Linked DNA regions of Drosophila melanogaster. The protein of the gene in region 1 interacts with the protein of each later gene in a pairwise test. Each region holds a gene or a part of one and is shown in the gene's direction. Other genes may lie near its edges.

Evidence for each region. Proteins that work in one complex are often made in the same cells at the same time.
Region 2: the proteins of Odc1 (region 1) and CG12116 interact in a two-hybrid assay, tested with the Drosophila melanogaster proteins (one large-scale study listed by BioGRID).

Annotation. Positions count from the first base shown.
Region 1 is NT_033778.4:8,003,060-8,007,211, forward strand, and holds Odc1 (ornithine decarboxylase 1), read left to right. Parts: upstream 1-1,764; 5' UTR 1,765-1,791; coding exon 1,792-2,061; intron 2,062-2,356; coding exon 2,357-2,514; intron 2,515-2,569; coding exon 2,570-2,867; intron 2,868-2,924; coding exon 2,925-3,173; intron 3,174-3,303; coding exon 3,304-3,372; intron 3,373-3,431; coding exon 3,432-3,572; 3' UTR 3,573-3,613; downstream 3,614-4,152.
Region 2 is NC_004354.4:8,466,915-8,470,758, reverse strand, and holds CG12116 (uncharacterized protein), read left to right. Parts: upstream 1-1,746; 5' UTR 1,747-2,004; coding exon 2,005-2,826; 3' UTR 2,827-3,316; downstream 3,317-3,844.

The DNA of each region.
Region 1 (4,152 bases):
GGATACTTTACAAACCGCCATTTATTATTCCGACAAGATTCTTTTCAGGTTTTCGGGGCCTATTTTTTGGGACATTCTCTGGGTTTAATTTTAATCACCTTATAAAATGCTTATGAGATTTTTTGGGACATTCTCTGGGTTCAATTTTAATCACCTTATAAAATGCTTATAAGATTGATCACCGATTAGTGCTAGATTTCAAGAATAAGAATAAATATTGAAATTTGTCAAAACAACAGGGTTATCGCCTAGTAAAGTATATTCATTTAAGCTACAATATTATTAAATGTTTAACTACGTCGATGAACTTGAGTAAAGAAATCGTTTTAAAGTTCTCTTATAAAAAGGAGTGTTTTGATGTGCTTGCTTATCTACAGACTCATGAAAATGTGTGTAATAAACTTGTGTTGCGCAGACGATTTGAGTTTGGTGACCCCGATTCTTCCTCGCATTTGCTGAAATTTGATACTTTCAGGGAGCGAATACTTAAGTACAATAGTTTTTCGAAATATAAACTATTTACTTATGTTTCTCATTTGACTTTCCCATCGACTAGCGTAGTTGCAATGGATTTAGAAAGCAAATCAATTGGCATGGGAAGGGCTGGGACTGACGACTGAACTAATGACATTCGCATGTAAATTTCCGGCAATTTGGGCGAATGATTTAAACGCATTTAGGTGTTAAAAAAGGCGAAACCAGTTTTACAATTCAACATGGCTCGAGTGCCTGGCATTCCAATTCCCATTCCGATTTAGATTTCGAATTTTTTTGTGAGCACTTTTCGGCCTGTCGTCGATTTGACACATCACTCAAAGTGGGGAGTGCTCGCTGCGGTTCGGGTTAGTTTTGAAATCGCATCGGAGCTGGAAAACTGAATTCGAGTGAATGATGACACTCGCAGCAAATTGCAATCGAATCGCAATGATTCGGATGAAAGCGGCTCGCCTCGATTTTTGAGCATGACAAGATATACGTTTCGCGGCCATCGCTCAATAGTCAATACTTTTGTCCGCGCTTTCTGACAGTTATCATTCTGGGGATCCTAACTCCTTTCGCCGGCAACATCTTCGCCGAAGGCCAAAGGGTGTGCGGAAAAAAATATTGATGGGTTTGGCCAATTAAAGGTTGATTGATAGGACAATCCGGCAAGCCGGCAAGTCGGCAACTGCAATTGCCAATATCGATTACGAAAGTTAGATTTTAATTTTTAATTGCCGTTCGGACCCAGTCGAGGGTTGCTAAATTGGCCGTGCCACAGACCACAACAACCCTCCTTTCCACTTCTATTGCTATTATTATTACCATTGTCATTGCCGTGGAATTTGCTAGGGGTGTCTAGGGGTTTGGGTTTGATGCCATTCCGATTTGAAGTGCCCCGTGTCCGCGGGGCAAGTGTCGATTATGCGCGACTCGATGGCCACTCGGTTGACACACAGTTGGCGTTCGAAATTTACATTTTATTACTTTTACATGCCCGTGCAGCCGCGCGCAGGCATTAAAATTATTTACGATGCCAAATATTGTTGGTTGTAAATAATGCATTCTGGCAAATATCACTGGGCTGGATAGGAGTGAGGAGGGGAGGGTAACGGCCAATCGCTTGACCTTTGCCGCTAATTAGAGCCTCATTGTTTCCCGCCGAGCGAGGAACGTTTACGGAGCGTGTTTCCAAATGTTTCGCAAGTCTGTTGCGATTCGAGCACAAGTCGTTGACTGATAACACCTCTAGTATGGGATTAGCCGCGTCTCGAGCGCCCCACTCACTCACTCAGTTGAGATCTTTCCGAGATGGCGGCCGCTACCCCTGAAATCCAGTTCTACGAACGCGAGCTCAACATCCGCCGGGTGATCGAGGAGTGCGACCTGCAGCGCCTGGACCAGGCCCTCAACATCTGCGACCTGTCTAGCGTGGAGCGTAAGCTGCGCCTCTGGCAGAAGCTCCTGCCCAGGATCAAGCCCTTCTACGCCGTCAAGTGCAATGACGATCCAATGGTGGTCAGGCTGCTGGCCCAGCTGGGAGCCGGATTCGACTGCGCCTCCAAAAACGAAGTCAAGCTGGTGGGTTGGGAATAGTTACTACATATACAAGTGCCTTAAGTCCTGGTAGTGCATCTCATAGTTTTTGGTGCCACACTAATATGTTTTTATAAATACTTTAGTACAAAGTACTATATAGTCATGTTCCAAGTAATGGAACGTAATTCTGGGCCTTATCAATTTCTGAATGTAGGTTTTCATTTTTCAAGCGATTAACACGTGTTGTTCTAGAGCCCAGACATTGGTATTTGATTACTTGTCGGAATTTCGTATAATTTAATAACTTTATTATTCTTTTCATGAATTCAATTCAAAGGTCTTGGGCTTCGATGTCTCGCCGGAGCGTATCATCTTCGCCAATCCCTGCCGCCCTGTCAGCCATCTGGAGTACGCCAAGGAGCACCAGGTGTCCAACGGAACGGTGGACAATGAGTTCGAGGTATACAAGCTGCACACGCACTATCCCAACTCCAAGTAGGTGCACTACCGTCGGATGCGATCATTAGTATATCTATACGTTGTTATCCAGCCTGATCGTGAGATTCAAGAGCGAGGCCAAGGAGGCACAGTGCCCACTGGGCGACAAATTTGGCTGTGATGCGGATGTGGATGCAGCGGCCCTAATGCTGCTGGCCAAATCCTTGGAGCTGAAGGTGACCGGCACCAGTTTCCACGTCGGCTCCGGATGCAGCGAGCTGCAGGCCTACGATCGGGCCATCAAGAAGGCCAAGAACCTCTTCAAGTTCGGCGCACTACTGGGCTATGACATGGACTTTCTGGACATTGGCGGTGGGTTCCCTGGCAGCGATGACGTAAAGTTTGAGAAGGTGTAATGCAGTAAGCAGAGGATTTTGAAGCAATTGCTCAGAGGAAACTTTTTACAGATAGCCGAAAGTGTGAATACCTCGGTGCAGCGTCATTTTCCCGACGAACGCGTTCACATAATCGCCGAACCAGGACGCTTCTTTGTGGCGGCAGCCTGCACCTTGGTTTGCAAGATCCACGCCAAGCGGGAGATCAGGAACGAAGCTGGCAAACTGGACACCGTAATGTACTATCTGAATGACGGCGTCTATGGGTCCTTCAACTGCATTCTGTACGACCATCAAGTGGTGATTGCAGAGCATTATCTGGTAAGATTGTCCATTATCATATGCATTATTTTAGTTGTCATTGAACATTGTTAAAAAGAAGAGGGGTTCCCCTTGAATAGCTCAGACCTCTACATGTTTTTAAGACCCAATTCACTTCATTTTCCCACAGGACAATGCAGAATCTTTGCCACACCTAAAGTCCTTGATTTGGGGGCCAAGTTGTGACGCCCTAGATAAGGTAAGTCAAATGTTGCTTGAAACTTAGCAATACCAAGTAATGTTTTATTTCTTCTTCAGATTTCGGAGGACCTGCACTTGCCCAACCTAAACCGAGGCGATCTTTTGGGATTCCGAAACATGGGCGCCTACACCATGCCCATTGCCAGTGCATTCAATGGATTCGAAGTCCCCAAGACCCTGTACTTCCAAGCTATATGACTAAATCACTTACTCAATCCAATAAAACCAACATTTTGTGGACTCTCTATTGTTTACTTGCTTACAACTTTTATATGTAGTAGACTTGGGTTTATAAAAATACCTGGCTGGTGGATTGTTAGGCCCATAAATATCTTCATGTATGTAAAAGGAGCATTTGAGATGTGTATTTCGTAGCTGGGAATTCATGCGTAAACAATTTTGGATCTCACAACTTACGGTAATGTTACTATGAAAGTCAGTAGATCTGTCATACTTTTCGCTAATAGTTCTAAGTCACACAAATCATCTATTTAAAAGGCAGTAAGCGATAAAAGCCCAAAATTGTCATCCATCAAATATATCTTAAGTATCAGTTTCTTATAATTTGCCTAGAAATCAATCATGCAAATGAACTGGAACTTTAATTGCCACCAGTTCTAGTTTAATAAATTTGTTGACTTGACTCGTAGCATAATTTACGGATGCGTAGACCTTGAAAAAAAAAAACCGAAAAGCAATCCATCTCATGTCCAAAGTCGACATCGTTTATGTATAAATAATGTTTTTGTCACTTCCTAATAGATAATCCCAAAGCTGG
Region 2 (3,844 bases), on another chromosome or scaffold:
CGATTTTGATCGAGGTGAATGAAATTTTCACTCTTTCTTCCAGCTAAATGAAATCTTCTAGGGGTCACTTTCCCGCTGAACGACATTGAACGGAGGACAGGGTCAGGTTCAGGTATAGCCTGTGTTCCAAATATGCTTTCCATTAGGTCCACGCCTGCCCACTAAAGCTGCGATGCTACGTGCTTCGGCTTGAAAGCCCCGCGCACTTTTGATAATACCCCTAAATCAACATAAACAGACAGATGTGATGCTATTACCCACTGCCACTGTCCACTGGTGAATTCCAAGAACTTTGGACGATACCATGTGAGTGGCTAACAATGAAGTAGGGGTACACCAACCAAGATGTTCCAGCCATTCAAGACTGGTCATTATCCAACAAGCAAAACAGCAAAGTTATCAAGATTTTGGCATTCATAGGTGCATAGAGGTTTATTTTTGATCTTGGATTTGCAGTTATGTTGCAATATATGAATATATTAATATGTAATTATATATTATAAGAAAAGGGAAGTAGTGCGACTTAGATAATCTGTATACTCTATTTTGCATAGCTATTCCCTCCATCAAATGTGAGCTTATTTGGTTATACTACGATTAGAACTGCGTTCCGTTCCCGATTTCTAAATGGGTCAGCGTCATCTCGAAACGAGAATCCGGGAATCGGCAGCAGACTCCACCGGAATATAATAAGGCCATTAACCTAATTCGAGCTTGTTATTGGCGAAAATATAGTCAAAACAGCAAATTCTGGAAACACTGCCGTCTATCGATAGATCTTGAATATAGATTTTAAAGCACTTCCCTTCCGATCGATAATGTCTATAGAAATATGGAAAAATCACATTTCTAGGCAAAAAAAAAAAAACCCCTATATGACACATTAATATATATGTACCTTACGTTATCTTTAAACATGCGATTTAACGGATGTTTAGTAACGAGAGAGTTCATTAAATTCACACGTGTTACACTACCCATGTAATTCACAGGCATATATTATATGTATTATGTAATTGCAAAAACCATTTGCATTTTATTCGTCTACGAAAGTTCAACGACTGAATGCGATAACCTGTTATGTGATTCGGAAAATAAACATATATACTTAAAATAGGAAAGCAGTTTTAATGGGAAAAAACTATATGAATGGAAATTTATTTAATTTGTTTTGCAAAAAAAAGAAGGGACTTTGCTTAGACAAAACTATAAAATGTACTATTCTACTTTCCACATAATATTGTCCCCATCTGTGCTACACTATTAATTGTTGCCAACTGATTTGTTTACAAAATTCTTTGGTTAATCTCTTGCACTAAAAAGACAACCTTGACTTAGCGCCATATCAAAGGAACTCGATGAACTTCAAGATGACAATCGATCAGGTTTTTGGCTCATGGGAAACAGTGGCAAAGCCAAAAGGGGCTTGAAAAAATTAGCTTATTCTAATATGAAAGTATAAAATGAAATGAAAAGTATAATCTATGTTAAAGCATATAGAGCAATTTGTTTGTTAGGACATTATCTAAACTATGTCTATTTACCAGGACCAGGCCCCCGATGCGTAATATTGGCGCACCACTCCATCAGATTCCAGAGGTTAAATGATGCGCCATGGGTCCGGATTACGGTGCCAAAATCCCAAACATTACAAATGGTTAATGGCACGGCAACAAGACCAGACGCCTGAACCCCGGCTTATCAGTCGATTGGGTTGTATAAAAGCCCCAAGCTGACATCCCCACCAGTCCAGAGCGCTTCTCCATACGGAATCGGAACCTGAGTTGCTCAGTCGAGCATAAATATATATACAATACATATATATGCACATATAGTTGGCCAATCGAAATCGGAATAAAGCTTATCAGTCGAAAACAGAGTCCAGTTGGCAAAGCCCGGAGGAAATAAGGCATCAGTACAGTCGTACAGCTTCAAGTGAAAACAAGTGGAAGATTCTTCAGTTCCCGAAATCCTCAAGTACCCGAAATCCTTTAAATCAAAATAATGGCAGCAAAGAGAATGGATTTAAATAGACGCACCTTTTTGGTGTTGAGCGGCAGCTCAAATCCTTTGGGTCAATCCCTGGCGCTGGAGTTCTGCCGTCGCCTGGCCACTGGATCCCTTGCTTTGATCTTGGATGAGGATCAGGAGCAGCTTCGGGAGCTGGAGAATCATCTCCGGAGCGAACTGAAGACGGAGAACGTTAAGGTGACAATCGGAAAGTTGGACAAAGATCACTCGAATGGTGTGCAGCTAATGGAACAGGCATTGATGGATAATTTCATGGCGGATAAGGACAATCAACGCTTCGAGCGTTCCATAATCCTTCACAACGAGGGAAAGGCGGCCACGCATATGCTCCTGGAACCCCAGAGCGACGACGATTGGAAGGCCTATGTCCAGCAGCAGCTCTATGCTCCGGTGGCGCTCAATCAGACGTGGCTGCAATCGAAGCACTTGGAGCGAGTGGAGAAGCTGGCGGTGAATGTGACCTCATCGCTGATGGTACGTCCATTGGTCCATGCTGGTCTGCTTTGCTCGTGCAAACGGGCCAGGGATATGTACTTCCGCGCCATGGCCGCCGAGGAGTATCGTTTCGGTGTCCATGTGCTCAGCTTCTCGCCCGGTCTGATGGACACCCACGAGGGACAGTGCGATGTGAACGGCAATCGGATCACTCCCGCTGATCTGATAGCCACGAAGCAGTTGCTCCAGCTGCCGAGAATCAAGCCCTGCCAGGCCACACTCAAGCTGATCAACATTCTGGAGGAGATATCCTTTGTCTCCGGTCACGATGTCGACTATTACGACACCTTCGTTTTATGAGTAGCACCGTGGCGGTGGGCTGCGTCCCCGATGGACTCGGTTCTAATCTTGGTTGACGATTTAAATGCTGTACATGACTTGATCGCCTTGGAAATTAATAAAATCTGGCCAATGTCCCAGATTTCAGACCTGCAAGTGCACGAAAATCAAGCACACGAACAGGAAAACGAACGAAAAATTATATTTTTATTTTGGGTGGGTGGGTAGAATTTTAGATTTCTATAGGTTTGCCATTCACAATATTAACATATATTGTTGATTTGCTACTTTCAACTGAATTTGAAATTGAGTCTATTTTTAATTAGAATAGACAGGAATCACCGAAGCACACTCCTTATATTTTACCTATAATATATTTAAAACTGATGTTCAAAAAAAGAGTACTGCAGAATATACTTAGTAATTAGTTACTATTGGTAAATTTGTATGTGCAGGCGTGAGTTTATGAGTCAGCAATGCACAACAGATTAAACAAATATACAGAATATACATATATATATATATATATTTGTTAGCTCAAAACAGAAAATGAGACAGATTGAATAGTCTCAGTGATAAGAAAACCCACACGTGTTCAAATGTATAGAATTTTGTATGTGTGGTGTTGCCGGGTCGAAAATTTTCAAAATTCCCAATAGACTGATTCTTGATCCGGGTTTTCAAAATTATATGTGAAAATTTGGCTACTGAATTTGTAGTTAATAACTAATGAGGTTTTGACAAATCTTTAATCTATACAGTTATAAATGGCTTAGTTCGCCTCATTCTGATTAAATGTATTTATGGTTTTCAATTTTTTTTTTTTTCAGTTTACTTTCAATGAATCAACTGTTTTATATTCAAGGCATACTTTTGGGTATTCCTTATAGAAAAGTAATTTAAAAAGCCATAAGTTGCTCAAAATGTTGCTAAAGCTTTCCTAATCAAATTACAAATGAAATATTGTAAAAAGCAATCAGGAATTATAAATGGAGCTTCCCTACAATGTTGCAAAGATTCTGTAATCAGTTGGATTTTA